Rhinolophus ferrumequinum: one gene and its partners. The protein of the gene in region 2 interacts with the protein of the main gene of each other region in a biochemical or structural test. Links are inferred from orthologs where the notes say so. Each region holds a gene or a part of one and is shown on either strand. Other genes may lie near its edges.

Evidence for each region.
Region 1: the proteins of UBE2K (region 2) and ANAPC11 form a complex in vitro, tested with the Homo sapiens proteins (3 studies listed by BioGRID). The link is inferred for Rhinolophus ferrumequinum from reciprocal best matches to the Homo sapiens genes UBE2K and ANAPC11.
Region 3: the proteins of UBE2K (region 2) and RLIM form a complex in vitro, tested with the Homo sapiens proteins (2 studies listed by BioGRID). The link is inferred for Rhinolophus ferrumequinum from reciprocal best matches to the Homo sapiens genes UBE2K and RLIM.
Region 4: the proteins of UBE2K (region 2) and NEDD4L form a complex in vitro, tested with the Homo sapiens proteins (2 studies listed by BioGRID). The link is inferred for Rhinolophus ferrumequinum from reciprocal best matches to the Homo sapiens genes UBE2K and NEDD4L.

Annotation. Positions count from the first base shown.
Region 1 is NC_046304.1:54,669,757-54,677,281, reverse strand, and holds the start of ANAPC11 (anaphase-promoting complex subunit 11), read right to left. Parts: upstream 3,018-7,525; 5' UTR 2,876-3,017; exon of another isoform or gene 2,752-2,875; intron 2,563-2,751; 5' UTR 2,552-2,562; coding exon 2,443-2,551; intron 1-2,442. Other genes in the region: ALYREF (THO complex subunit 4), read left to right, coding at 3,263-3,499, 3,944-4,075, 5,484-5,631, 6,197-6,260, 6,360-6,534, 6,629-6,643. UniProt on the Homo sapiens protein: Together with the cullin protein ANAPC2, constitutes the catalytic component of the anaphase promoting complex/cyclosome (APC/C), a cell cycle-regulated E3 ubiquitin ligase that controls progression through mitosis and the G1 phase of the cell cycle.
Region 2 is NC_046288.1:14,523,908-14,531,711, reverse strand, and holds the start of UBE2K (ubiquitin-conjugating enzyme E2 K), read left to right. Parts: upstream 1-4,795; 5' UTR 4,796-4,999; coding exon 5,000-5,062; intron 5,063-7,804. UniProt on the Homo sapiens protein: Accepts ubiquitin from the E1 complex and catalyzes its covalent attachment to other proteins. In vitro, in the presence or in the absence of BRCA1-BARD1 E3 ubiquitin-protein ligase complex, catalyzes the synthesis of 'Lys-48'-linked polyubiquitin chains.
Region 3 is NC_046284.1:371,553-379,277, reverse strand, and holds the start of RLIM (E3 ubiquitin-protein ligase RLIM), read right to left. Parts: upstream 3,009-7,725; 5' UTR 2,823-3,008; intron 943-2,822; exon of another isoform or gene 884-942; intron 1-883. UniProt on the Homo sapiens protein: E3 ubiquitin-protein ligase.
Region 4 is NC_046302.1:47,055,675-47,063,685, reverse strand, and holds the start of NEDD4L (E3 ubiquitin-protein ligase NEDD4-like), read right to left. Parts: upstream 3,006-8,011; 5' UTR 2,733-3,005; coding exon 1,626-2,732; intron 1-1,625. UniProt on the Homo sapiens protein: E3 ubiquitin-protein ligase that mediates the polyubiquitination of lysine and cysteine residues on target proteins and is thereby implicated in the regulation of various signaling pathways including autophagy, innate immunity or DNA repair.

The DNA of each region.
Region 1 (7,525 bases), on a different chromosome or scaffold from region 2:
AGAAAGAACACTACGGCCGAGCCATAAAACAATGCTCTCAAAACCCCACTTAACAACCGCTTGCACAGAACAAGGGGCTAGGAACACGGCCTGCACTCTCCTCCAGCCTCTCAGCACTCTGCAGCCTCCTTGGCACCCCATCTCAGACAGGCGGCCGGGGTGGGTACTGGGTCAGGGACAAACATGGGCTCCTAAGTACGCTTGGCGTCTGCTGAGCACGCACAGTTCCCCACCCAAAGGGCACAGCCATCCACCAAGTCATGAGGGAAAGTGGCCACCGCTCCACCTTCTCATTCACTTGTTCGGGACAATGTTTCTCAACCTTTTAAAAATCCTTTCTAAAACAAAAATGTCCCTTGCTTCCTGAGCTTTTATGACAAAACCACCAGAAAATTATGTGCTCAGCAAATACAAAACATGTCACTCACTCTCCTTCCCAGGCCTGTGCAGGAGGCCACACTGTGTGACACCTGATTTAGATTAGTTCCCACCCCCCCCCACCCCGGGCCCCCCGGGCCTTTCCAACCTCAGAAGAAAGAACGCCCCTTGGAATCACCATATAAAAAGTAGAGTCCCTTACAAATAGAGGATGGAAAACCATGAGCAGGAGCCTGCTAGCCGCCTGGTGGGGCACCCGGCCACCCAGCCACTGCTGCAGAGCACGTGGACAGAGGAACCTGCCGGGGGCACGTGTTGAGCACACGAACACCAGGTCGGTGGCTCCCCCAAAGGCCTGCTAGTGTCTTGATGGAAGTCCTTTTTAGTTAAAACACCCCTCAACAAGACTTACTCCCAGAGCCCTCAGGGCCACGGGGCAGGTTCATCATAGGCTCAGAGGCTGTCGTTCCGCACAGGAGCTCCACTTCAGCCACAGAAACCCAGTGCCACCTCAGCTGTACAGAAAGCACCTCATGCTCATCAGGCGCCTTGAACTTGACAACTGGCTCACTCCACAGGGTCCAAGGATCAGACTCTGAACCCCTACTCTCGCAGCTGGCAGGCCCACATGTGGAGATGCCCAGCCACAGGCCCAGCTGGAATAATACTGGCGGGCTCCTCAGGCAGTGCAGGCCCAGTGGTGCCATCTTTATACAGGCTCACTAGCTCACACTGACCAAGGGCACGGCCACAAAAATGCTTTTGAGGCCTTTTCAGAAAGGAACAATCTGCTGCATAGAAAGTTGCAAGGATTTGCTCCTTCCGGCTCCCACTGTCTCTGTGGTACCCTCAGGAAGGGCGATTTAAAAATAGATTAAATCAAACCAAGCCTTGCGCATCGCTGTTCTCATTAAGTGAAACCTGATCAAGTAGAGCCAATCAATGAGTTCCTAAGATTAAGTCCCACCCATTTGATTAAATCAGGATGGACTGATTCCTGGGTAATGAGATCTCTTTTCACCCAAAGCAGATATAAAGATTAAGCCTAGAAGAAAAAAGTATTTGCACTAAAAGTCCATGGTTTACATTTCACTGTAAGAAGCAAAGCACGGTTACTGTTCTGGGCACTCATGTAGCCCCACGAAGACCTGGTCATTCACAGGGCAGTGAGGAGCTCCTCAGGAGTCCCCAAGCCCCCCTTCCCTCTTGGGACCGCCCTTGTACCCTAGACAAAGCCTTGACCCTTGCTTCTGCTTTGGGTTCACTTGGGTCTGACTAAAAAACTCAATTCATTGGTGCAAAAATCTGCTTTTGACCTAAATATATAATCAAACATTCCTACTTCACAGAACATCCTGACGACAAAGGAACAGGGCAAAAGACATCACAAAGAAGAAATCCAACAAAACTTGATGGTAGGCACTCTGCAAGGTAACACGTGGGTTTCCTCAAGGAGTCAGGTGTCTTTAAAGGGGAAAGAGGGGCGGGGGAAGGGCTGTTCTGAGTAGCTAAGGAGCAGAGTAGTGAAACGGGGAGTCCTGGTTCAGACCACTTGGGGAAGAAGACATTTGGGGACAACCGGAGAAATCTGAATGTGGGCTAGGGATGGGCACAGGTGACACAGAGGAATTCTTAGGTTGTCTGATGTGACAACAGTAGCGTTACATTTAAATGCGACTGAGTGAGTGGGGGGAGGCAACACATGAAGCGAACATGGAAACGTTATTCACTGTTACTCCCTGTGCTCAATGGAGGGCGTATCCTTCTAATATTCCTTTTCTTGTTTGAGAATTTTCAAATGAAAGGTTTTAATGCATCTCTTTGTCCCCTGAGTTTCCCGGCCCAGTTTGATCGTGATAAAAGGCTGTACTGTTTCTCCTTACAAAACTTTTGATGGTGTCTTTATACAAATATGGGCCCAAACCGCCTACCTTTTCTCTGCCAACTTTTCTTGAGAAAAGGGAGACCACAACCCAGGGACTTTGTGCGGGTATTTCTGGGGGAGACAGCACCGCCAGGCGAGTAAACAGAGCTCAAGACACAGCGAGCACAGGGGACACTCACAGTCCGGGCAGCAGCCATTAAAGGCCATCCGGCAGATGCCGCAATTCTCGTCGTTGGCCACCCAGAGCCAAGTGGCCACGCCGTTCCAGCACTTAATCTTCACCTTCATGACGGAGGAGCCTGCGGGCGAGGGGAAGACATCACCTGCTGCCCTTAGTCTGCAGAGCGACAGCATTTAGACACCAAACAAGGGATGCTGCCCGAGGCAGAGGGTCGGCTCTGAGAAACCCTTGTAGCCACCGAGAGGGGGAAAGGCGGCTAAAGGGGTCGCCCGTGGGAGGACCGGAGCCCCGGATACTCGCCACGCACTCAGGGCATCTGCAAAGACCGGCCAAAGGGCGCGCTGGCTTTCGCTACTAAACTGCCACAACGTGCCATACAGCACTTCTTGAAGGACATGACTAACTTGGGGGTGACGGGCAGAGACTCGAACCTCGCTTGCTGTGAGTTCACGCGGGAAACCACCACCCAGCCGGAGTCGCCCGAGGGGAGGGGCGACGAGCCCCGTTCCGCCCCGCCCCGCGCCCAAGCGGACTTAATCGCGCGCAGCACCGCCCGCCTTCAGTTGGCAGCGCCGGAGCCCGCGCGCGAAGCTACAAAAACTACCGCGGCCGCGGCCCGGGACCTGGCAGTGGAGCCCGCTGACCCCCCCCGCGTCCCAGTGCGCACGCGCCGCCCCGGCCCCCACCGCCTCCGCCGGCCTGCAACCAATCGGCGGCCGCTCCGAGAACGCGGCACCGGAAGGCCCCGCGCGTCGCCGGAAGTGACGCGCCGGCGTGCTGACGCGCGGGCTCGAGCCGAGGCCGATTCCGCGCCCGCCATGGCCGACAAAATGGACATGTCTCTGGACGACATCATTAAGCTGAACCGGAGCCAGCGAGGCGGCCGCGGCGGGGGTCGGGGCCGCGGCCGGGCTGGCTCGCAGGGAGGCCGCGGCGGCGGAGCACAGGCCGCCGCGCGAGTGAGTCGGGGCGGCGGTCCCATGCGGAACCGGCCGGCCCTCGCCCGCGGCGCGGCGGGCGGCGGTGGCAGGAACCGACCGGCGCCCTACAGCAGGGTGAGTGCGGAGGCCGCCGGCGGGCCGCGGCAGGGGAGCGGCGCGGCGGGGCGGCGCGCGGCCGAGAGGGCGACGGGCCGGGCCGGGCGGGTGGGCGCGGGCGCGGGCGCTGGGCCGGGCGGGAGGTCGCGCGCCGGCCGGGCCCGGGAGGCGGACACCCTCCCGGCCTTTGTCTGGCCGCCGAGCCTCGTGGCGGCAGGCACTGAGGGGACGTTTCCGCGGCCACACCGGCGGCGAGAAGTTAGTTGGAAAAGTCGCGGGACGTGGGGCCCCGGCAGGGTCGACTGCGGCTCGGCGCGGGCGGGAAGCGGAGGGCTTCAGGCCCCTTTCCGCACTTTCCTCCGGGCCCCGCTGGGAGAGGGTCTTCCAGGGGCAGTGAGGGCGAGGGGCAGCCCTGGAATGCAACTCACGGGTTTCTTTCTGTTGTGTGTTTTCCCCCTTCAGCCGAAACAACTTCCTGACAAGTGGCAACATGACCTTTTCGACAGCGGCTTTGGGGGTGGTGCCGGCGTGGAGACCGGTGGGAAACTGCTGGTGTCCAATCTGGATTTTGGAGTGTCGGACGCTGACATACAGGTAAGAGACAGGATCCTGTCGGTCGGTAGTTGACCCACGCGGAATTGATGGCGTTTGGGATGTGGCCCTGAATCCCTTCCCACCTTAGGACATTGAGCCCTCCCAGACACCCGAGGGCTAGCCACTGTCCCCTGTCAGGGGCTGCTAGGGTGGAGAGCCGAGGTCATGCTAGAGCTGAACCTGCAAGGAGTAGGTCCATTTGTGCTGGAAAACAGGCCCCCAGCCTAGTGTAAGGAGCCGCTGCCCTCCCTTACTAAAACCTGTTCCGTGAGTGAGGTTCTCTGCCAGAGCTTCCCGTTTCTAACAGGAAAAGACTGGTCAGACTCGCGTGGTTCCTGTGTTACTGATGGAGCTGGGCTGCTTGCTTGCTTTACTTTGTGCTTGTTTTCATGATTCGTTGAGAGGAGAAAGACCTACCTCTGTAGAGGTGACAGCACAGAAGCAGGCCAGGGCGTCTTTCTGGCTGTCGGCCGTGAGCCCTGTGTCTTACACGTGCCGGTCCACTCACCACCATCCCTCAGGTCTTGTTAGTAGCATGACTTGCCGACCCATCTTTGGTTGAAGCCTCTTCCCGCCCCCCCCTTTTTCTTTTTCTTTTTTTGATTGAACCTCAAAGGCATTTAAACCTATTTTCTGGTTAAATGACAACATCTTGGGGGTCAGTCCTGGAGATGGCCGGGTCAGGGTTCTGGGCCTTCCTGGGTTCAATTTCCCAGAGCCCAGCTGTGGGAGGACAGAGCAAGGCTGATGAGCACTCACAGTGTCTCAACACTTTTTTTAAGGTGGTTTCTGGCATCCACTGGAAACCGCTTTTGGTGAACTCCACTTCCCGCTGTGTGCCTGCGGCCGGAGTAGCCCCACACTCTGGGTTCCCTCTCCAACTCCCAGCCTGCCTGAGGTCAGGGCAGTTTCCATGGCAGCGCTTGACTTCAGACTTTGCGGCAGGCTTGAGTAGGAGGAGAGGGAAAGGTGAGCCAGAATCTGCCCCGGGGGAGGGGCTGGGTCAGGGCTCCCGAGTCAGGGCCCTTGGAGCTGGTCCACATGTCAGACGGCGCCCCTTGAGCTGTGGTCTTGGCCTTTGCTGTTTGTTGGCACAGTCCGTGGGTGTGTTGTACACTTTCCTTTGCTGAAGGAGATAGTGACCTCATGTCGTGCCCTGCACTGATGGGCTTTGCGGCCCTTCACCTGCATCGTGGTACAGATGTCAGGTCCCCAAGTTGGCAGGAGCCCTCAGGCCCAGCTGCTCCTGGAGGGGGCTGTCCCACCTGCCCCATCCTTGCCCCCATTTCCCACTACCACTGCCCTGCCCCCAGGGAAATCCCCTCAAAGTAGCTCACACTTCCAGGGACTGTCCCTGGGCCAGCAGAAGGAAAAGAGCCCGCTGACAGTTGCTGTTTCTAACTCCCAGGAACTCTTTGCTGAGTTTGGCACTCTGAAGAAAGCGGCCGTGCACTACGACCGCTCCGGACGCAGTCTGGGAACAGCCGACGTGCACTTTGAACGGAAGGCAGACGCCCTGAAAGCTATGAAACAGTACAACGGCGTCCCTCTGGATGGTGCGTTTGGGATTGGACCCAAGAAGACTGAGGGGCCACGCCTGGTTTGTGGAGTTGGGGCTGGCACCCGTCCATGCAGGAATATGGCTCTCCCCTCTGGCTGAGGACACTTTGCACTCGCCCCTTTGTCTCTCTCCCACTCTGCCACTTCTCACGCTGCCCCATACATGTGGACCAACCTCTTGTGAACCCCCACCAGCAAGCTACATCCCTCCCCTCGTTCAGCTCCTTCGGAAGACTCACTCCTGTGAAGCCTTCTCAGCCGCCAGAGTACACCTCTGAGTGCGGGGCTGTAGTCGTAAACAAAGGTACCAGCTCTCCTCCTGGCAGGGCGCCCACACCGTTCCGCCCATGAGCAGCCTGGACACCTGACCAGACACCCTCCTAAGCTGGACTGAGGAGCGAGGAGGTGGTGGTGGGTTGTCGTCGGCGCCGTCTCTTGTCGCGAGCGATCGAGACACGCACGGCCCCTTCCCAGTGCCTGCATGGAGACCGGGGCGTGGTGCCCTGGGTGGGCGTCAGAGGTCTCTAACAGGAACGTGCCCTCTTGTATTCTTTGCCACAGGCCGCCCCATGAACATTCAGCTCGTCACGTCACAGATTGACACACAGCGGAGACCGATACAGAGGTGAGTTCTGGGGCCTCGGGGCCGGGGTTGGCCTGTGGTGTGATCGCTCAGCCTGTGGGCCTGGCCACGTGTGTGAAGGAGTCTCCTTTCCCTCGCTAGTGTGAACAGAGGCGGGATGACTAGGAACCGTGGTTCTGGAGGATTTGGCGGCGGTGGCGCTCGGCGAGGCGCCCGTGGAGGCAGCCGGGGCAGAGGCAGAGGCACGGGCAGGAGTTCAAAGCAGCAGCTTTCCGCAGAGGAGTTGGACGCCCAGCTGGACGCTTATAATGCGAGAGTAAGTCCTAGACGGGTCAGAATGGGGGCCAGCCAAGACCGGGAGGGGTGACTGGGACCTCTTTTCGAGCAAGAACCTCTTTCCTCTGTTTCAGATGGACACCAGTTAAACAGACCAGCAAGCCTGTGCACAGGACAGGCTCCAGGCGGCTCGTCCATGCTCCCTGGCGGGAGGGGCTGGCGGGCTGGGGCTGTGTGGCCAATGATGAAGTTTTCTCTTACGTTTTAAAATAGGATTTAAAACTCATGTAAAGGTTTTTTTTTCCCTTTTTTTTTTTTTTTTTTTTAATTCTGAAACAGACCTGTTTTGTACTGAGTTATTTTTGGGATAAATTTTACTGGTTGCTGTTGTGGAGAAGGTGGCATTTTCGCCTTCGCCATAATAAAGTAGAAGTGTGTGTAGAACTGGAACCGTCCGATTCGTCCTACTGTTGGAGTTCTTGTCTAGGCCAGAACTTTGGTGTCGTCCCAGGCAGGAGGCAGGCACATGGGACCTCGGGGGTGGGGACCAGCCCTGCCTGGCATCTGGCGTCCTGGCATGGGGGTTAGTGCTCCAGAGATGGTGGCTGCCTCTGTGTCTGCCCGCTGATCCTCTGACCAGACAGGTAAGAGGCACAGAGCGCAGTCCCTCTGCCTTCCCACTGGACCATGAGGTGAGGGGAGGGGCACCTCATGTTGCCACCCGCTCGCTTTCAAGCGACCCTTACCTCTGGCTCTTGGTTCCCAGAAGCCTGGCTTCAGCAGCTGACGGCAGCGTACGGCGTCACGTGCTCAGCCTGTCCGTGGGCATGGAAGCAGCAGGTGGAGGGTGTGCTCTTCACTGTGCTGAGATCACTTTGGAAGCTCTGGCAGAGAACAGGAGGGCCTTGTGGTCACATCTGCCCATGTGGACACTCGAGCAAGCTAGGGCCACACGTGGGGTGCAGTTTAGGAGGGGCCGACAACCCTGTGGGAGTCTGGGTGTAGAGACACACCTAAAGTCTCTTCGGTCT
Region 2 (7,804 bases):
GTGTAAAGGCCCCATAGCTATGTTCCACTTGTAGCTGCATATTCCTTGGACAGAGTGGAAGTATGAAATCCTTTCCTAAAAAGACTCCCATCTAAAGAATCTCTGTGCCTGACAGGATCCTAATCAGTAACTTAAGACAAGGAAACATATTTTGTGCTATTAAAACCAGCTTTCCACAACACACTGTAGATAATTCTGAAAGCCACAATAGTGGGAGTTCTGATCAATTCTCTACATTTGGGATATAGTGTAATTACAATCAATACCGTGGTGCCTACTGGCCTGGAGCTAAGTTTAGAAGTTCAACTGTGGATCTAAATGTTGTTTTCCACCTTTGCTGCTAGAGCTGGGAAAAGGTAGGGGAGAGGAGCTAACAAGATGGAAAGGGCAGAACTCAGTGAAGGGGTTTGAAAAAAGCAAAATGATCTCAAATTTATGACTGGGTGTTTCAAAAAGAGAGTTAAATGAGAGGCTTGAGTGGAATAGGCAGTGGTGAGAGACAGAGGAAAAAAGTCTCCAAAAGCTGGCAAAACATAAGGTCAGGAAAGGCCATAGAAAAAAATATTGCTCTGCATTTAGAAGAACAGGAAATTTGAATCTCAAGAGCAGTAACAGTAAATAGCAGGAGCTATACAAAAAGGAAGACGTTCACATTTCCAATGTTGGCGATTATTATCAAGGGTCAGCAAAACATTATTATGCCTTACTGTATTTTTTTATGTGAATCAACACATCAAAACACATTGTTCTGTTAGGGACAACTGAAGAGTTACCAGATTAACTTTCCTCCATCAATCTAAAACCAATTTTACAACCTTTACATATATACATTTTTCTAAATTATTCTGAAAGTGTGTGACTTTTTAGATTTAAGCCTTACGTCTAAGCAGTACAGTATACTTAAATGTACTCAAGTTTCTTTTATAATCTTCAAAAATATTGAGAATTCCAAAGAGTATTTGTTTGAGGGTTAAACAACATTGTGTTAGAAATTAAAACTGACAAATTATTGAAACACTTATTAATAACTATAATAAATCCATTACATGCTCACATAAATAATATATTTTAAGTAAAAAATAACTATATTTTCCTAACAAAAACTCTTTAATGCCTGGCTTAATAGAACATAGCTGAATTTTCATATATGCTTTTGCAGTCAATGTTGCCTATGTTGCTTTGACTTAAGTATATGAAGAAAATCCAGCCTCATCCAGATACATAGTTGGAAATTTTAATAACTTTATCAGACAATTGTGGATATTCTTCTTTAATACTACGATAAATCTAAACAAATGGTAGTTTCTTAAAGGTTAGTTGCAATGTGGAATCTGAAACATTATCAATGAACTTTTTGTACTGTTACATTAAAATCCACTGGTCTCTCTCAAACCTTAAATGGATGTTTTACCCTTACATGAATTCTGTAATATCATGCATTGGTCATTTGGAAAATATTGGTTCACTGATTTATGCAGATCTTCCAAATGTTAAAACATTTGTACAGTTTCAAGTAATCTCACTTGTTAATATCACCACCAATTTAATCAGAAATGTCTTAAAGTGTATTGGGAAGCTGTCAAGTCAAAGTGGCAGATGTGTTTTCAAAAACTATAATTTTCAGTTGAAAGTTTGAATGTTATCATTGGCAACAAATTCTTCCAGTTTGAAGTGACAGGCTCACATTGTTCATTTTTGATAAAATATCTGCCAAATACCCAACTCCTAATGAACATAATTTGTCTCAATCATTACTTCAAGTAAAAATGGTGTTCTATGAAAAATTGGCTAGTTCAGCTCGTAACTCAACCAATTCCACAAGTGCTTTGCCACATATCTTGGTGTACAGCAGACGAGCTTTATGTATCCTTCACGTGTATCACACAGAATATTAACAAGATATGTACTCAAAAGTTTAAGTTTAATAAAAATTAATAATCTCTACTGCTTCACCAAAAACATTCTAAAGTGGCATTTTTTAATCGTATGTGGTATTAATAAAATTATTACTACTACAGTAATTGTTTTTGCCCACTATTGCTTTTACATCATCAGTGCAAATGTCAATGCAGTAAAAAGGCAAGTAATGTCTTAGTTTTATTATGATAATAGTTTGGGCATTGCAGACTGCCTCCTGAAAACATCTCAGGGGCCCCCAGGTATCTGCAGACTATACTTTAAAATTAATTCTCCCCATCCCTGCTAGAATGTAAATCCCACAATTCCAGGTTTTCTTTGTCTCTTGTTCACTGATATCCCTCCAGGGCCTAGGTCATGCCTGGCACATAGTAGACATTCAATAAATAGTTGCTTAATTAATTAATTACTTAATGAAATAATTAATCAGAACTAGATCTTAACAGTGAAGAGCATATAATCTGCATTACTGGAAACTCATTTTTAAAAATTTAGTTTTGAATAGATAAAATATACAACAGGACACATGGTGAAAAGTCTCCCACTTTGCCTTCCACAAGGCAACTTAAGCTGCTTTCTCAGAGAAAACCACTGTTGTCAGTTTCTTATGTATTTCTCCAGTGATATTTTATGGATTCACAAGTATTATATACACAAGCATATTCCTTTCTTCCTTCGCACATATGGTGGTATTCTATATACAACATGGATTGCATCATGCTTTTGAAAAAGTAAACTTTTTCTTTTGGAATAATTTTAGATTTAGAGACGTTTCAGAGATTCTTGTATACTCTTTACTTACTTCTACTAATGTCAACATCTTAAATAACCCTAATACTTAGTCAAAACAAAGAAATTAACATTGTACAATACTATTAACTAAGTTACATAACTTATTCAGATTTCACTAGTTATGTCCTTTCAGTTCTGGAGTCCAGTTCAGGATACCACATTACATTTAGCATACTGCTTTTTTCCCCCCCTTAAAATGTATTTTTAGGATTGCCTCCTATCAGTTAATAGGTAGTTGCCTTATTCTCTGGAAAAACTCTCTAGAATGACTTCCTTGAAGTAGAATTTCAAGGCCAATGATTATGTGCATTTAAAAATTATCAAACCCCTTTCCCTCAAAGAAATTACCAAACCCTTCTAACTAGTACTCTTGTGATTTGAATGTTCCAAGTTTCTTTGAAGTTCTAAGACTGGGGACTGAAAGTAATACATGTAAAATACTCAAAAAAATTTGCACCCTTCACAATTATTTTTAATGTACTGGAAAAAATACACATAGCATTGCACGATTTATATAATATAAATTATACAATTGTATATACAAATATATAATTCATTGTACCATGACCCACGTATATAATTGGTTACTCTTAGGACCACTAGGGGGCTCTGCAGAAAGGGTTTTTATAATTTATTTTAGTCCGTTTAGGGAAAGGTTTCCCCATGATGCTTTAAAATTCTGAACTTTAAAAACTTGAAAGAGATCACCTAATCCAGCTTTCTTATTTTCCAGGTGAGAAAACCAAGTTGGCCAAGAGAGCTGGCATGGAGGAGAGCTGGAATCAAAAATATCCTCTTGGTTCCTGTGGCAGGGGTTCCAGAAAATCTTTTTTGCCATGTGCCTCCACTGAGTGATTCACTCCCTGTGGCTATTCCCTTTCTTTGCTGCCACAATCTTAGTAATATTTGCTAAGACAGTGTATTTGTGATATTTGTCTAATAGGGTACTTTACTAATTGGTTAAGTGAAAGAAGTGCGTGAAATATAAACTTCTAAGTAACCTTTATTATTCTAAAATGTTTTATTCAAACTATCGAATCACCAAAACCATATTACTTACCGTAAACTCTCGCAACCACTTCACATTGCCTTTCAAACTTACTTTCCATTTAAAACATTTTACTCTTTACTCATTTATTCATTCAATATTTATTAAGTGCCTATTAGTGCCAGATATTGTTGTAGGCCCTAGACTTACAGAAGTAAAGCTGCCCTTCTTCCCCGGAAAACGTCTATTTCTCCATTTTTTACTTTAATATACACGTAAATTATTTTCACATGCTTTAGTTCAGTGGTTCTCATAGTGTGGTCCCTGAACCAGGAGTAGGAGCAGCAGCATCTGGGAACTTGTTAGAAACGCAAATTGTTAGGCCTACCCCACACTCCAACGATGGGGCCCAACAATCCGATTTTTTAAACAATGGATTCCGATGTATACTCAAATTTAAAAACTATGGCTTTAGTTCCACAGCTAGGTATTATCAAAATAGATCAAAGATCAACATCTGGCTTCTAAAACCATCTCAAACATCTCCATGGAGCATGGGACCCAACAAAGACCATATTTAATTCAATGATTTGTAATACCTGGCATGATCGTAATAGTGGCTCTGTAATGGCTTCAGAACAAAAACGGACAGCGGTGGATTTTCTGGGCCTATAAGCAGCAGAAAACCGGCCGGTCTGAGTTCTGGGATAGTGTTTTCATACACAGAGCCAAGCACATTAAGCCCGTGGGTCTGCTTGAGTTCAGGGCAGTGCTCTAAGCCGACTGGGGCCGTACGAACCCATCAGGTTGGACTCCAGCCTTTGGCTGGGGGCTGGAAGCCCGGGGCATACCATACAGGTTTGAAGACAGGCGGAGGAAGAGGAGACGACCGGGGAGGCCGGAGTATGGCAGGCTAGCGCGGAAGCCGCACCCTCCAGGCCCCAAACGCCGGCAGGGCGGAGCCACGCGGCCGCAGCTCCGGCAGAGACGCGCGGCGCGGCGCGACGCGGAGCTCGCGGCTCCCGGCTCGCGGCTGAGGCGTGTGGGGCTACAACCGTAGCGGCTGCGCCGCCCGGTCGGGTCAGCGTCGTGCGCATGCGCGGGGCCGGCGCCATTTTGGTGGCCGGGCACGGAGGTGATCCCATACTGAAGAGAGCGAGGCGGCCGGGGTGGCAGTGGCAGTGTTCGTGTGCTCGGGTGTGAATCGCCGAAGGAGGAGGCAGTGGAGGAAGAGGTGGCGGCGGTGGCGGTGGTCGTAGCGGTGGCGGAGGAGGCGGGTACGAATCAGCTGCGGGCGGAGACATGGCCAACATCGCGGTGCAGCGAATCAAGCGGGAGTTCAAGGAGGTGCTGAAGAGCGAGGAGGTCAGAAATGAACTCCGGGACATCCCCCATCTCAGCCCAGGGCGGGAGGGCCCTGCCAGCGGCGGCTCCCAATATCCCCGGTAACCCCCGGGTGGCCCTCCTTGCGGCCGCCCTTCTGCCTGTGGGGAAGCAGCAGTCTCCCCCCTCCTTCCGCCGCCTTCCCCTCCCCTCCCAGGGCCCTGGGATGGACGGTCTCGCTGGCGGGTCGTGTGGAGAGGAACATGGTTTGGGGGGGGGGACAGATGGAGAAGGGGGCACTTGGTGGTGTGAGCTCTAGAGAGACCCCGGGGCAGTGGCAACAGCTGGAAGTGTGGCTGTAGGGTGGTGGGGAGCGAGCAGGCCGAGCCTGAGAAAACCCGGGAAGTGGGTTGGGGGAAGGGGAAAGGTGGTAACTGGATCCGGAGAGCCGCGCTGCTCAAAGGCCCACACTTTTAAGGGTATTCTTGGTTATAGCCTGTCTGGCCTCCACTGTCCTTTCCTTAAAGGAAGTCCCTAGTTATCGATGAAAGGAGAAGGATGTTTAGAGTTACTCCCTCTTGGTTGGGTGTTGGGAGAGAAGAGGAGACATAATGGGATACTATCGTATTTGAGTGGGGGATAAGGGAATTTTCACCTCAGATAGGAAATTAATTCCAATCTAGACCATTATCTCATTTTCATTTACCTCCGATTCCTAGGCCTCTTTTGTGTTGACACCTAAAGCTTTTGACTGGGTAAAGGCAAGTTGTTTTTTGTATGAAAGGCATTTAAATATTTTTAGCTAGGAAAAAATAATGGGAGTGTATGAGAAGCTTATTTCAAAATATTACAAGTTACAGAAGTTACAGATCAGAAAGCCTCTCCTAAGACAATGCCTTTGTGAGTGTGTTGTGCCATGAAACTTCATTATGATGTGCCTCATAGTTAATTCTTACTTTTAAAAAACAGCCGTATTAAACACATGGGATTTTGCCACATTAATACATTGTTATAGTTCCTTATCAAGTGAGTAGGTATATCATAATATATCTGAAATGATTTTTAAAAAATTTTTGTCTCAATCTGCTCTTGAGTTCTGCAGAATTTAGATGCTCTAGTGTTAGCCACATTTATTTATATAAGATATTTTAAATGTTCTAGGAATTTGACTCAAAACCATGCAAGTGTCAGTAAAATTTTTCATACCCAAATCAACAAGAATACCAGGTTGTTTTTCCTCTTTAGATTTAACAAACAAAAATTAATAAGCAATACTGAAATGATTATTTTCAAGATGTCACATGCCATTATTAAACGTATCATTGCTATTTGTATTTTTCTCTTACGTTGGTACTTTGATAATCTCAATGATTTACTCTTTAAGTGTGTGATGAGTAATTGACATAAATCTGGTAGCACTTGAGCTTTTTTTTTTTTTTTTGCTACGGAGTCTATACTGATTATGTATTTTTCCAGTTAGAGAAAGTAATTCTTTAAAATTATTAAAAAATGACAAATACTAGATTTATTGAGTGTAGTATATAAGTAATGATCGGTTTTGCAGAGCAAAACCTCTGTGTTTGTTCATATGCCAAAATTCTGAATGGAAGGATGACTTTGTATTTTGTATTGCAGAAATAGTGTCATAAATGTACTGATACACAGTGAAACAATGATTTTATTTTTTATTTAATAAGAAGACATATTCCAGGATAGTTGACATATATGTTCCTAATGAAAGATTGCAGCTAATATTGTTACCAACAGCCTAAAACATTCCTTTTATAATAAGGTTGTACAATCCCGAAACTTAATATAAAACTTCTAATGCTTTATTTTCTAATACTTAAAAGTGGTAAGTTGCTGCTCTTGTGATTTATATGGTCTCTGCTTGTATGCAGTGACTTTTCACTGTGATATTCTTAATACTTAAATTGAACCTTAAAAGAAATCTTGTATTGCTATAGTAATGCATATATTGTTAAAATAATACTGCTGTTTATATGTAAGGGATAGTGAGGCCTTGCTTCAAGTGTCTTAGTGTTTCAGAGGAAGAAAACAGGAAATGCAAACACAAACTTTTTTTTAAAGAATCGTACCTTTATAAATCTGGAAGGAATCTTCTTCTGGAAAGTATGTTTCAAAGTACATTTAAGAAAGGGTCAGATAATTTAATTTTGCAATATAACCAATAAATAGCTTTATTGGCTCCAATATTTTATTTCACCTGTGTTTTAGTAGGGCCAGTTCTGTAAGTGAATTATTTTCAACTCATTGAGGGATTTATAGTACAGTCCATGTGTTTCCTTTTTAAGTATATAAATGCACTATCTTGAGTGGTTGATCTAGTAAGCAAGTTTTTCGTGTCACCTGTGTAAATTTCCAGTTTACCAAAGTTTATTTCTTATGCTTGTGTTTACTAAGAATACTGGTTGATTTAAGGATGGGGGGCGGCTTTTAAGTGCCTTTGTAACGATTGCTAATGTTTGCTGAATTCTGGCCATAAAAAGTTATAATTGGCCATTCTTGAAGTGTGTTGTTAATTAAAACATAGCCTCTAAGATAAAGCAAATGTGAAAGGCCAGGTGTAGAATAGTGTGAAGGCCACCATTTTTATCAGAAGGGGAAAATATACAGATTCATATATATATATATATATATAGTGTGATATATATAGATGTAGTTTTGTGTGTGTGAGATGTATATATATATCTATATATATATATTTGAAAAGGTTAATCACAGGTTGGTAATTGGATGTCTGGGACAACATGCACCAAAAGA
Region 3 (7,725 bases), on a different chromosome or scaffold from region 2:
TCTGATCTAATTAGATAGCAATTAAGTCTAGAGGCATAAAAGTTTAGTGACTTCGGGCATCAGACAGACCTGGGTTAAAATGGGGACTCTACCACTTATTAGCTATTTAATTGAGGACAAATTGCTTAATAAACACTTCTCGGAGTCTTGGTTACTTCTGTAAAAGAGTTAACATCCTCGTGAGGCTTTGCTGTGATGATTATAAAACCATGCATGTGAAGTACAGGACCTAGCACATAAATATTCAGTACTAGTTGGTTTTAAATTTGGGCTAACTACCCATCCCAGTTTGCCTGGGACAATCTTGTTTGTGCCTGTTGTCCAGGCATGATTAAGAATAACGTCCCTTTTGCTCTTAAAAGTATCGCAGCTAGGGCAATAAATTATGTGGTTACTTTAACAATGATGATGAAAAGAGTTAATACCAATCAGAGTATTATATATCAATTATATAATTTTTCGATCTTGAAGGAAAAAATAGGACACACAAAATAATGTAAGATTATATTCCTGTAAGATATTCTACTGACATGTTATTTATTCAACAAACATTTAAACACTATTTATACCCATCCCATTCCAACAATGATTTAATACAGCAAATTTCTATTTTGTTCCTTCTGTTCTATACAGGTACTGGTAAACTTCAGACATTATTTTAAAAGAGGAAAATTCACAGATAAAGCACCAGTGAGTTCCAGCTACTCAGAAACACTACTCTATGAATTACCAGTGAAAAATATCCATTCTCATCGTGAAAGTATACGCAACATCAACTAACATATATCAAATAAGCCCATCCAATTACAGGGCCTGCAAAACAGATTTTAAAACACACATTCTACACATAAATCATCAGGAGACGCAACAAAAAATAAATTACCTGACTTTTATGACATAGTATTGTAATACAATAAACTGGATTTTAGTTTTCTTCACTCTCTGCTCTAGGGAAAAAAAAGAATCCATTATTCTTCCTCTTTTATAAGACAGACATTTTCTTTGAAACAGACACATCCTAAAAAATACACATCCTACATATTTGTTACACAGACACACACCCCATTACCCAACCTAATTCAACATTAGTATTGATATTTGGGGAGACTGAGAAGGTCAGAGGGAACCAGAAATATAAGATTTCCTTTAAAGGCTGAGAGTCAAACTACCTTTTAGTGGAAGCTTACTTAAAATAGGCCTTACCTTATCAAACCTGTAATTATTTTCAGATTCGACTTGTTACTTTCAAGGACTTATTCGGCACACTACAGTTACCTCTGTAAAATAGTACTAGGCAGTGGCAGTAACTACAAAGTATGAAAGATCATCAGGACATCTTAGGATAAAGACTTTGAAACATTTTTCTGTAAAAAAAGAGGGTCCTAAAGACTTTGAAACATTTTTCTGTAAAAAAGAGGGTCCTAAAAATCACATTTTAAAGCGTTTAAATTTGTCTTCCTGGATACTTTATTGTTACAATGTAGAAAACTGATGGGGGAGGGGGATGTAATTGTGCCTGCCTGCTCTCAAGTCATCCAGGATGGACATAATATATCTGATGGAGTGATATGAGTAGTTATTTTGTATTTAAACACGAAGAGTGAAAGAAAGATTAGTAGTAGTACTACGTTTATTTCTTCCTCCCTTCAATCACTCAAAGCCATTGCGGTTAATTCTGATTCAGGAAATGCGGGCTCCTTATTTCCAGCAAAAAAAATTGTTGTGGGCCTTGCAAATGGTGGATGACACCCTGATATAAATGCTTCCTCTTGCCCCAAAACGAAAGAATGACCTAAATAACACGCTTGCTAGGCCTCAGATTCCCGGACTAACCTGTGGAATAAGTATGGTGAAACTGTCTAGGGAAGGAACGTGGCTGTCTCCTCCATCTTGAAATTAATCAGCATAAGGGAAAAAGGGACTGAGTGTTCAGGAAGCAGAAGCCCAACCGGTTAATACTAGTTACTAAAGCTATGGCGTACGTGGCAGGTACCGCCCGCAGAAGCTGAGACCCTTAGGCTTTTTTTTTTTTTGAGGGGGGAGGGGTTGGGCTGTTGGCTGATTGAACGGAAATTAACTTGAAAATCATTTGGCCCAATTCCCACCCTTTCCCAGGGAAAAACAACAAACACGCAAAGGCTTTTCCCTCTCTTCTCTTCTGGGGGGGGAAGCGGGGGGTCCTTGCGATGATATCTGGCAAAGGATACGCCGGGGTTATTCGAGCGAGGGAGTAAACCACATTTGCCTCAGATCCTCAGGGAAGATGTCATCATGGCCTCAGGGGGCGCCTAATTGATAGTGCCCTGAAGTGCTCAAAATGGGCTTTTGCAAATCCTGGGAAATCTAAAGGCCCAAGAGTTCCCAGCATCTGACTTACAGCAGCCCGATTTTCCCTTTTCCCAAACCAAGCCCACCATGTAAAAGGGGCGGGGAGAGGCGAGGGAAGCTTCCACAGAACCGAGGAGAAAACCCCGAAACCAGGAAAGATCGTCACGCCTGAGGCCAACACTCGAAAGTCGCCTCCCCCCGTTCCAGAGGCTCCGGAGGGCCCCGGCTGCGGCTAGCGCGGCCACGGAGAGGAAGTCCTACCCCGCACCTTCCTCTTCTTCAGAGCCTGTCGACCATACACCCAATTAAAATGGCAGCGGCGACTACGCCACGGAACCCCCCACAGCAACCGGGGCCTGGGGTCCGAAGGAGGAGCTGAGCCTCGGCCACGACGCAGTACTCAGGCCATTTTGAGGAAACGCGGCAGCCGAGGCTCCGCTGTGCTCCTCTCGCTCTCCATCCCTTTCAGAGAGGATTCCCAAGGCTTCACTTACTGGGTTTTAGTGTCGGGATCCGACTCGGTCGGTTCGGCCGCCGCCGCCGAGGCCCCTGCGCGCCTCCCCTGTTGCGCTCTCAAGCCCGCCTCCGCTGAGTCGCTGCTAGAGACCCGCCTCTAGCCCAGCGCCTGCTGCGAGACGTTGCTCAGGCAGCCATTATCTCCCCCATTGTTACCAAGCAGCGACCGGAAACGACTGCCCACAACAGGAAGTGATGATGCTGCGTTCCGGCCCCGCAGCACCCCCCAACTCCCGCCTATTAGCCAATCGCAGGCGATTCCTCGAAAAGGCTCGGCGGGAGTAGGAGGGGCACAGGCCGACGCGGCCGAGCGGCCGAGGTCGGGAAAAGGAAAGCTGCTGTGACGCCCACCATGTGACAGGCCCCACCTTCCTCCGCCATTTTGAATTGTGGCGAGAAATTCGCGTTCTGAGAATTGTGGGAACCTTCGCTTTCCCATTTTGAAAACTGAGGGACCCAACCCTCTGAGTGCTTGAAGCCTTTTTCGGAGACCTAGAAATGCGATATTAGTCCAACCTGAGGTCGCTTCACTCGATGAGTCCAGATCAGTTCATACACATCCTACCTTTTGTTCAACATGTTGAACATTTATTGAGCGCCAACTGTATATCAAAAACAATTGAAGATGTTGCGGATGCAGCGGAAATTAAAACATCAAAATACCGGCTCTCATGGAGAATGAGAATATAATTGCTGGTAAATTCTGAGGAGAAAAAGCCGGCAAGCCAGGGGAAAGGGGTGGGAAGTGCACGGTAGGGGAAAACGAGAACTGCAATTTTAAAAAGAGTGGTCAGAGATGACCTCTTCTGACAAGGTAACTCTGAAATACTTGAAAGGGGGCGGTGATTGTGAAAGGGTGGGAAAATCTGATAACGTTGGAATTTGTGAAAGGGCAGTTAAGGAAGGCCTTTCCTAGATAGTAATGCCTGAAGGACACTAAAGAATGAGTCACACAGAATCCAACTCCCGTTTCCCACTTGAAGAAAAACGACCTTACCCAAGTTTTTAGGGTGTTGCCATGTTTCTTTTTCCATTTTTCTATTTTCTGTGTTTTCAAGTAACACTCCACCTACACGGGCATTCTTATGATTCTTCCCCCTTTACAACTTTACATAGGCTGGAATCTTTTGCCTTCATATTTTTCCTCTCAAACAAGTCTCTTCTCATTTGTCGTCCCCCCAGAGAAAACTTCCCTAACCACCCTATTTAAAAGAACAGCTTTCCTACCCTACCTGCTTGATTTTCTCTCAAGCACTTAATCTGAAAAGATATAATTTGTTTACCCCATAAGAGCAGTAAACCTCTGTTTTGTTCACTGTTACCTCCCCAGGCAGCTCAAATATTTGTTTGAGAGAATGACTCCCCTCAGCATGATGGCCATTTAATCAGCCTGGAATATAAGTATTTCTCTCCAGTTACCCCAATTCCCTCGTACACACTTCCCGGCTCAATTTCGCAGCAGACTTGAATCATCTTATCATTTTTGACTGTATATGTGTATGATTTAGGTGCTGTGTCTCTACTCAGTTTTTATCTTATATTACATAATTATGTACTAGAACTTTTATTTAGAATGTGTAAAACAAATTCTTCAGTGACCTGCAATGCTATTAAGCCCGATATTGAGCTTATACTAATAACATTAGCCACTCCTTGATATATTGTTAAGGCAGATGTGTCTTGCCATAAAATATAAAGTCACAAAAGAAGTAGAAGAAAGTGTAAGTAAATATGTCTATAGCCTTAGGGATATCGAAGAACTTTGCAAACATGACACAAAAATCCATGAAAGGAAATACTGTTAAATACAACATCATAAATAAAAGTAAAGCTGCTGAATGTCAAAACACAAGGTTAGTAAAATTAAAAGACAAATGACAAACTGAAAAAAATAATTTCAGCATGACATATGAGAGCTAAAGGGTAATACTAGTTTATAATAAAAGACAAATGACAAATTGACAAGAATATGATAAACTTATATGGCCAATATCACAAGTCCATAAAGAGGTACTATAAATCGACTTTTTAAAAGATTAATACCTCATTTTAAAAATGTGCAAAGGACATGGATAGGCAATTCAAATAAGGAGAAAATATTTGGCTGGTAAGCATATAATATGTTCAAACTCACTAGTACTCAGAAATGAAAATAAAAACAGTAATTCTCTTTCTTGCCCCTCAGAATGTCAAAGATTAAAAAATTGATAATATTAAGTGTTGATGAAGATCCTATGAGCTGGACACACTTGTATGCTACTGGTACAAATTGACATGACATTTTTAAAGGCAATTTGGCAATGTGTATCAAAAGCTTCAATATATCCATACTGTTTAACCAACAAGACCACATACAGAAATGTAACTTAAGGAAAAGAAGTGGACAAGTTTGCAAAGGTTTAATCATTGAAATACTGAAAAATCAGAAAAATAACTATTCAATATTTACTTTTATATTTACTGCAAAATCAGAAAAATAACTATTCAATAGTAAATACTTTATAATACATCTACATAATGGATTCCTACGTCGCCATTAAAAATGAGTAGCTAGATCTAGAAATGTTCAGGTATATTGTTAGTAGAAAAAAGTAATTTACAGAATGGCATGTGTGATTCTATTTTTATATTTAAAAGATATGTGAAAATATGCATAGAAAAAAGTCTAGATGAATATATATGTAAATAAAATGTGAAGGGATTGTTAGTCGTTTTAACTTTCTTTACCTCTTTCTGTGTTGTCTTGAATATATTACAATGTGCATGCATTACTTGGTATTGGGAGGAGAGGTCATTTCCATTTTTAAAGAAAAGTCTGAATATGGAAAAAAAAAAGAATATCTCTCCATCCATTTATTCCTTCAATGCTTCATTCGCGCATACTCCTCCTTCTTCCCTCCCTCCGTTTCTTTCTCTTTCATACTCATTTATAATCAAGGAGCTGCTTAATTCCAATATCTAGGAAATGACTTCTCAAAACAATTTATCCCATGATGGCATTCAATGCCACCTAGAACTCAAGGAAGTAACCACTGAATAATTATCATTCAGTTTTCGTTCAGCCTAATTGCATTTCTCTCCCATGCATTTTTTACATATGCGTAACTTTCAAATGATTTTACCCCTTCTGGATGAAATGTCCCTTAACAGGAAAAAAGTAAAAGAAATTCCCAATCTTCCTTCTGTTTGTTTATTCATCAAAATGTATTGATCGTCTACTATATGCTGGTCACTGAGAATAGATCAGTAGACCACAGACGAGAAGACCCTGCCCTTGTGGCAAGACAGACATTGAACAATTGTTTATGAATGTAATGAACACTAAAAAGGCGACATGTGGGTAGGGTACTACGGGAGAGGTATATAAAAGGAACATTTAACGTAGAGAAATTGACATTTTTAACTGAGACCTGAGCTGAAGGAAGAATGATAGTTAGGGAGGGCAGGCAGATGAGAAAGGAGGCCTGGGAGAGGGAATAACCTGTACAAATTCCCTGGGGTGAGAAAATGGAGCCTGGGGAACTGAAAGAATAGCTCATTCTGTAGAAAATCCTCCCAATTTATTTTCTTCACAGCACTCATCACATCGGAATTTATCTTGTCTATTTGTTTATGTTGTTTATCGATTGTAGTGTTTATAGTCTATCAGTCATCCCACTGACCCGCCCCCAGTGTTAAGTTCCGTGGGAACTAAGGCTTTGCCCCACCCCTTCACAGCTGTATTTTCTGAGCCTAAAATACGTAATAGACAATCAATATTTTTGGAATCAACGAATTAGCTGGTAGTTCACATTAGATACTTAGGAGCTTTTCCTAAGAACAATGGGAAGTTCTTGAAGAGTTTTAAAAAGATTGTTTAAAAATGATTTCATAAACTTTTTTTTTTTTTTAAAGATCTTTATGGCTGCTATGTGCTGGAGAGTGCTTTTTTTTTTTTTTATAGTGGACGTACTCACTATTTTAAGATTCCAAACTCCTTTATCTTTAAGAAACTCGACTGGTTTTGTTTAAAAAAAATGACACCCACAAAATAGATACTGCCTCTCATGGCTATTACAGCAACAGTGAAAGGTCTCTCTTTACATTCTATGCTTCCCGGGAATAGGTTGGTACAAAAGCAATTGCAGTTTAAAAGGTTAAAAATAATTGCAAAACCTGCACCAACCTAGCAAAAATAACCTGCCTGATGAAACAATGTCAAACACCTATGTATCCAAACATGAAGGTTTTAGAGGCTCTGGTATAGAAAGCACAGAGCAGTTTTCTAACTCATGCCAAAACAACCAGAGAGTAATCTTCCTGTAACAACTTAAGTGCAATATAGCAGAAAGAAAATAGAAGGCTTGGATTTAGAGAAGAAATACCCATTTTATATCTCCAATTAGTAATCTATTTTAATAAATAGCTTATTTGTCATTTAATTATTTAAACTGTGAAGAATAAAATGTTTCAAGTAGACTAGGAAGACTATGCACTGTCTCTGGTATCAAACAATTTTGTAACTAGTTTCTCTTTGGAGATAGGATAACTCTATCCCTGCTTTTTCATTCGACACATCAGACATGTGCACACACTGCGTGCAAAATGACTCATCCCATAGGAAGGGAGATGTAACATGTATTGTGCTCTTTAAAGTTACTATCTCTGATTCTGGATGCCAGAGTCTGGATGCCACTTTTGAAAAAGAACCTTCTACAAAAAGTACACAGTAACACAACTATCAGTATACTAAGACACAACTAAATTTCCTACCTTCTCCTTTGACCCAGAACTTGATTCAACAAGAAACCTAAAGTTACAAATAGAACATCAGACAGGCAGCAGTGTAGCTGGACTGGCCACTTTCCATTAGTGTGAAGTTGAAATCGAACAGTCTGACTG
Region 4 (8,011 bases), on a different chromosome or scaffold from region 2:
TTGTCCTTCATCTCTAACTGCACAAATGATATAAGTTTTTGGTAACACAATCGAATAGTCATCAAAACGTTAGGAAATGCATTTTGCTTGTCTGTTTTCCTGTGGTAGGTGGTCCAAGGTCAGCATGGACGTGTGCTGCCCAACAAAGCCCATAACTGTCACGATGGTGCTTTCTTGGGGTCAAGGTTAAAAGCTCTTATAATATCAAAATTTTATTGAAGTTTGAACCACTGTATAAAAATGGTGTTGGTTCAGACTGAGACACAGCACTAAGCCATTTCCTAAGAAAGGGGCTTAGGGAAGTGGTAAGAAGGAATAGTTATATAACACCAAGAAAACTGTAACATTTGCCTTTAGCATCTACCCCTTCCAAAGCGGTGAAGACAAATGATGGAGCAGTGATCAAGTGTACTTGAATGGCCAAACATAAAGCAATAAAAGATGATACAATTCTATAGTAACACCCAGCCGTCTACTTTGAAAAGTCACAATTCATAAACGAAACCCACACAAAAAGTCCCCAAGACATTTCATAGTCATATATGCAAACCAGTAATCACATGAAATTCGGGGGTGGGGGTGGGGGTGGGAATCCAATTCAAAAAGATAAGGAGCTTGTTCTCAAAAAAAAAAAAAAGAAAAAGCTCTTAATGGCTAGTGATTACTAGCAAAAGAAAGCTAACTGCTAAAACTTTTCATCCCACTACAAACTATGAAAGCTGCCAAGTCATGATTTGCCCGGTGGGGTTAGCAGCTGTCTTTCTGTACTCCATTTCACGGAAAGGGAGAGAGCAAGAACACAGGAACAATAAAGGCTAAAATTTGTTCTTGGGCATCTGTGTCCACAGCTGGAGACAGGGCACTTACTATTCTATATACAGCATCCCGGCTTAGACACTCAAGTGGGCGGTGTGAAATGGCACAGCCATGCCATCTGACCATTACCAAGTCCCTGGTCAGTGTCTCTTAGCCAATTTGCTTCAGAAAATGCATTTCTTACTGTCCCACAAGTGTGACTACACTCGTTCAGTTTTAAGGGACAAAAAAATCCAAAAGACAATAAACGATGTAACAAGGGCTGACCCTCTATAGCAAAAAGGCCATTAGGAAGAATTGGTCACACTTGTCCTACATTTAATTATGAAGAAAGTAGATTGAAGTTTTTGGTGATACTCTTTCACCTGTATTTAGAATTGATTTTTTTTCCCAACGAAAGTGTTGTCATGGACTATATTTGCAAATCACTTTTAAATATATTTCCAATATCAACGTCTTGGGGCACTGGCAGATTAATTCAAAGCAATAAATTTTTAAAATCTTCTTATTCAGAAGGGGGAAAGGGGTGGGGGAGGGGACGGGTTGGATTTTCAAAACAGACAGAGTTGTCTGGCTTTGAGTAGTAGTACCTAAAGGAAAGATCTTTTCTGCAATGCTAACCAGTTTCATGGAACTCGACCAAACACTAGAGCACAACTTGGCCACCGTTAAGTTACACTGGCCCAAAGCAGGGAAACTCCCAGAGGGAGGAGGATGAAGTTTATTTTAATTACACTACAGAATAAGCTTTCTGGGCTTGAATCAGTCCCTTCCGACGGGCGGCCACATCTACACGCACGCTAACTTACCGGGGCTCCAGCCACCATGGAACCAGGCCTGGTGGTGGTACTCTCCTCAGGATTCTGGTGAGCTTCCTCTGGTCCCCGAGTCACAAGAATTCTGAAATGCTGCTGTCCCGCATTTTGATCTTGCCTGATCTTAAACGTGCAGCCCTGACCCTGTGGCGTCCTTTCCATGGAATTTGTCCTGTGGATTTCGGGAGCCACCCTGTGGCCCCGAGGTGGTGTCTCTGGGTGGCCCCGCTCTTCCGTGGGGCTGCTGCGCTCCGCTCGGGGCTGCGTGGGGTACGAGGTGCTCCTTTCCAGTCGGATGCGGGGGTACCTCACCAACCTATCCCCCTTCGTGCCCGTGAACCCAAAATTAAAGTCACCACCTAGTCCTGGCACGCCTGGTGATGGCTGCTGCAATTGGAAGACAAAGCACCGCTTCCCAGAACTTCCAGAAGCATCTGGAACGTGTTGCAGGGACCAGCGCCTGGGTTCCGGCGCCGATGGGCTGCCCTGGCCATCGGCCCCGAACGGTGTCAGCTTCACCTGGCGCACATCGGCGCTGGAGGCTCGGTGCTGGATCCGGAGCCCGCCACCCTCGGAACCCTGGGCGGTTGCAAGTTCGGTCTCTTTGAGGCCATCGGCAGGGACAGGGCCCCGCGCTTGACGGCCACACGTGCCATTGACCTGGGGGCCGGCACCCCTGGCGTCCCTGGGAAGGGAGTTCTCAGGGGCCTGGGGCTCTGGGGGCTCCCGGCAGCTGCCCCGAGATACCGAGCCCGCGTCGCCGTCCAGACCCTCGGACAGCCCACACGTGTCCGGGGCGCCGTCCGCCGCTTTGCGCTGCAGCGAAATCTGCACCGACGAGCTCCGGGTGGGCCGCGCGTCCACGGGACTCAGGAGCTGCGGGATGAACATGGACGTGCTGCGCTCGAGCGCGCCCACAGCCTCGTGCAGGCTGCCGCTGGCCTCCGCTCCACTGTGGGCCAAGGGGTGCGGGCCGCTCCTCCGTGGCAGCGTGTGGAATGCCATGAAAAAGTCGTCTTCTCTCTCCTGGTCGAGGATCTCTGATTCGGGGGCTGTGTTGCTGCGACCAGAGCCAAAATGAAACCGAAGCCGATGGGCCATGGTGCCCGGCAGGGCAGGGAGGGAGAGGGCGAGCAGCAGCAACACGCCCGGCGCTGCCAGAAGTCAAAAACTGAAGACACAAACTCCAAGAAAAAGAGTCCCATCTGCCAAACCGTTAGCACTGCGGCACCGAGAGCGACAGATAGCAGAAATAACCCAAGTGGCGAGCGGCATTCCAGGCATGATTGGGTAAGAGCAAAAAGCTCTCATCCACACTGTGACAGAGGGTAGGATGGCCAGAACCACATGACTGCCGTCTCCCCCTCCAATGCCAGCTTGTGGACTTGTAGTGGAGTTTTCCCCCTCTCGCCTTTTTTTTTTTTTTTTTTTTTTTAAACAGCAAGAGCCTGAAACAGCACCTTCCCAGCTGCTGCTTTTCCATCAGACAGGAGTGGCCCCAGCAGGGAGCTCTCACAGCTGACTAAGCAGCAAACACACTTGGAGCCATGCTGCTATCAATCTGAACCGCATCACATTCACAAGCCAGTTCTTTCCGAACACAGCCGGGCACCGAGAACTCTCTCTCCCCAATGCAGAGACCTGGCACTGAACACACAAGCACACGCGGTATTTCCCCACCGCCCCCGCAGAACCAAATGCCGACAAGTAAAAATGCCTTGGCTCTAGGAAAACCTGTTCCCAATCCTCGGAGGTTGTGTTCCTGTTATTTATGATAGCACCACACTACCCATGGAATGCAAACTAATAAAACGTACTATAAATACGGCTACACACCCCACAGAATTACTGTCCCTTTAATGCCAGATAATTAGACCATGATCTATAAGTAACAAAATAGCTAAGTGGAGGGGGCACAACTTACAAAAATGCCAGTTAGTGGTCTGGCTCCCGCTACTACAAGACTTTTCACGGGAGGGCGGTGTTTTGATCTCACACATACAGTATGATTGTCAGACATGGAAGGACCAGAGAAAAGGGACGCAGCTGGAGAAAACATTTTCTAACATATGCCAGATAGGAGAAAAAACAACTACGCCTCCCCCCACACACACCCCAAAATAAGGAAAGGAAAATTGAAGAAGGGTGTACATGTGGTTTTTGTCGTTAAGTTCAATACCATACAGAAAAAAAAAAGGCTGTCCGGGGCTGACTGTTTTCCAGTAAGAAGTCAGCAATATGAACACAGTTGGGATACACACATGGAATGTTGCTCTTTTTGCAAAGGGCCAAGAAGGAGCTAAGAAATAAAAGTCCACATTCAAAAACCTGTCATCAGATTTGTAGTTAACTTGGACAGATTCTGTGTGTTTTAAACTTACTATTTTCCATATCCAGCAACATCAGTTATTTCACAAAGAGGCTTATTTAGGACCGAGTAAAAACTAGGAGGGGAACATAGCAAGCTGCAAAGAGTGACAAAAAGTTTATTTTAACATCCGCAAAGCATGACTTTGTCAACAGCTCTGCAGTGCAGGGCGTGGAGGATTAACCCTACGTTTACATACAACCAAACCTGTTTGCTAAAGGCATGTGTTTTAAATGCCAAAAACGATCTCTATGAGAGAAATGGATGCTAGTTTGTTTAATGCTAAAACTGCCAAGTGCCACTACAGTCCCGTATTGTCTTAGCTGGATTAATAGCCAAAGGAAAAAAACACCAGCAGCAGCATTCACCGCATAGTAACAACACTGGAGATGGGCTGGGGCAAAGCTAGGTATTAATATCATGAAACAGTTTTTCAGACTAAGTTTGTATTCGCACAGGATCTCGCCAAGCTCTGCATTCAAAGCCCTTTGTGGTCTGCAAGTAACAGTTGAAGGTCCACGGCGAGGTCATCCCAACAACAGTCACTGTATTAGATATTGGAAATGGGAACCTTAAATTGTTTGACAGTGAATTTCTCTTAATGGAAGAAAATGAAATTATTAAGACACATCTGACAAGAGGCCATTTTCCCTCAAATTTGACCCTTCCTTCACCTTGAAGAAGTGTTATCGTACTCAGCAAATGAGAGAATGAGGATTAGTCTGCAGGGGCATCTAGGTCACCAGCGACTTAACTGTCATTCTACTGACCACCACCTAATTCACAGTCTTCCCTGGATGGAGACAAGGGGCAGAGAACAGCACCCTCAGCAGAATCTCTCATTCATTCAGTTTAACGAGAAAATAAGTTCACACACACCGCGAGAATGATTTAGTTATGTGGGATGACTAATTATTATCCAAGGTGTAAAATGTTGAGTTCAGTACAAAGCCACCAAGAACCCAACTACATTTTTAATAGAAAAGATATCAGGGTGGTAAGCCAGAATCTGTTGGCTTTCTAATCTGGAGACTAATACCAAGCGTAGGAAATCAAATACATTGCCAAATTCTACAATCAGGATAGAAAGCCTTGCTATTCACTACCACTGGCCTGAGACTAGAACAGTAGGTTCCAGCAGGGCGTTATAACTCACGGACAGGTTTAAATTACGGAAGAGGTCTGGACAGAATGGGGATAACTGAGTTGTATTATGAGGCGCCTTCCCATCAAATATTCTATTCATCTTAAGCTATTCAAAAACTGGGGGGTTTCAGGTGAATTCCTGCAGCAAGACGCATTCATAAGAACATTCACTTCAACCAAAAAAATATACGTAAGTTTCAGGGAAAGTAAATTTGAGTGACAACTGACTAGAGCTATGGCACGACTTCTGAAGAGTAAAACTCAAAAGCTTACACATAACATAGTGACATTCATTTTCATAGTTGGAACACGTGACTCACGGGTACTTGATGTACACATTCTAGTTAACTGGCAAAATGTTGAAAGCCGGATAGGCTTCTGAAATTCCATTTCTAAAACATAATCTTACTTTTACCAGTTATATAATGATATATATCTATATCTTACTTACCTATCTATCGATCTCTATATAAAATGCTAGTTTGTATCAGCTTTATGCTTCAGGTGTAACTTTGGTTCGTTCTTTAAAGGAACTTTTTACTAATTTCCCTTGAAAAAGTACCACGTTTAAAATACAGCTTAATTTTACCTGCTAAATATAGACTCACTTTTTTCTATTTACTGTTAATTAGATTTTTATTTTCCCGAAGAGAATCACTATAGATTCACTATTGAATAGGTGACAGTATTGTAGTCTGTCTTATAGTTAAAATCCCTGAAAGGTTCGTTTACATGAGTGATGGTCTCTTCACAGATTTGCCTGCCTCTCTACGTTCCCAACAGAAGAGCATCAGTATATGGTTTAATATATCAGCAATGTGACTTTCACCAATATTTCCACTACGATAAAAACGTGCATATATATATATATATATATATACACACACACACACACACACAAATAAAATTTCTGTCCTAGACATGCAAAAATATTTGTTGGAATCGTGAACAAGTAACGGAACAAAAATAAAGTCTTTTGAGGGGCATATATACTGTCAGAAGTACAACATAAACAGAGTTTGAAAAGATACTGTTCTAAAAAAATAAGTTTTTAAAAAAATGAAGCAAAAATGAAAAACTGGGAACCACTTACCAATCTGTTTTCATCAAATACTTCAAACAGGAGTCTGTGATTCGACGGGTTTACCTATAGGGACATAAACAGTATTTCAAAAATGGGCAGAAAGGATGAAATAAGAGACAAAGAATAGAGTGCCTTACAATGCACCCAAGTGAACTGCACAATCTGAACAGCTGACCCCTTCTGGAAATCCTATACCTACTACATCAAGTTTTCTAGTATCGATTCCTATATTGCTCTATGTCTAATGTTTAGGCACATGAGAAGAAAAGGCTTTTAGCTGCTTTTGTAAAATAGGAAAGGATAATTCTAAAGAGTTTCCTCAATCTTCTCTATAAAAACATGCTGGTGCCTGTACAACCAAGGCTACATCTTCACGAGGTCAATACCTCAGGAAATCTCTTAGGCCTAATAAACAATAATAGAACTAATAATAGCAAAGATAAAAATAATGAAAACAGTAAAAGCAGCTATTTACTACTGTATGCTTATCTTATTTTTTAGACACTATCTTCTTATTAAATATCAGAAACACATGATGTCATTTAATCATGACAGCAACCCTATGATGTATAACTGTCACCCCAATTTTACAAATGAGAAGCTGAGACCATGAGGGTGAAGTATGCTGCCTACGAGTCCACAGGAGTATGCAGGGCCACCAGAACCCCAACCAGATCTGACCTGCTTGTCTCCAGAGCCCATGTTTTGAACCATTCAAGAGACAAAGGAAGAAAAGATGGCCCCACGTCCAGCAACCACGGTGTCAATGTCAGAGCTACTAGGCTTTCAATGTCTTTTTGCTTCTTTCTGTCTTTACTAAAACCTCCCCAAAATGGCAGGAATCGTCATGCAGACTCAAGTATCATTTCCTGAGTCCCAACCATGTGTGAGACATGGTGGTGAGCGTTCTCTTTTACACCATGACATGTAAATCCTGGAAACAGCCTATGCAGTGAGGGCTCTCTCTCCTACATGAGGGAGAAGGAACCTGCAGAGAACGCATGTCCTCAGGTGGCTTTTCTGGAGTCACAAATGCTGTATGTGGCAGAGCCAGAGATGGGACCCAGGTCTACTGTTAGTAAGTCTCAGCTGCTTTATGATGGAGAGTGGAATGAAATTACGTTTGATGGTACAACACAGAGCAGACCACTAGTGCTTCTGGCCCTGGCCAGCCCTCAGCCTAGTCATGGAGCAAGGAGATGGGTTTAGTGTCTAGGCTCTGTGAAGAGTCATGCTGCTGAACAATGCATCCACAGGCCATGGTAGGAGCTGGCACACAGGAGGCGCTCAATAAAGATTTGTGGAATATAACAAAGCCCCTTTAAAAAAAAAAAAAAGCCAAGAAAACTAGAGTTTACAGACGCCTAGGGAGCTAAGACCAGTTGAAAAAAATTGTGTATGTACTAAAATTCACCTAAATGTGGCTGAGGTATTAAACTGAAAGCTGACGAAATAATTCACAGTTTTACAAGTGGAAAGCTCTACCTGAGAGTTAACTAAGGGTCAGTAACATCTACCTGCCCCCATTAGCTTTTCGGTCCTTCGCGAAGTAATTTTAAAAACATCTGGCAGAGACTATACATAGGATATCACCAAGTATTGAAATGTCAATGCCATATTTTAGCTCTGAACATAATAGAAAACAGATGTATGTAGTGATCTAAGTTTGCAGCACACATAATATTATTGTGGTTGAAAGAAGAAATCAGGACCAATTATAAGGGGTCTGATGGTAATACTGTTCCCTTGGCAAACTTCACTAATCAGATCTCATCTGGAGCA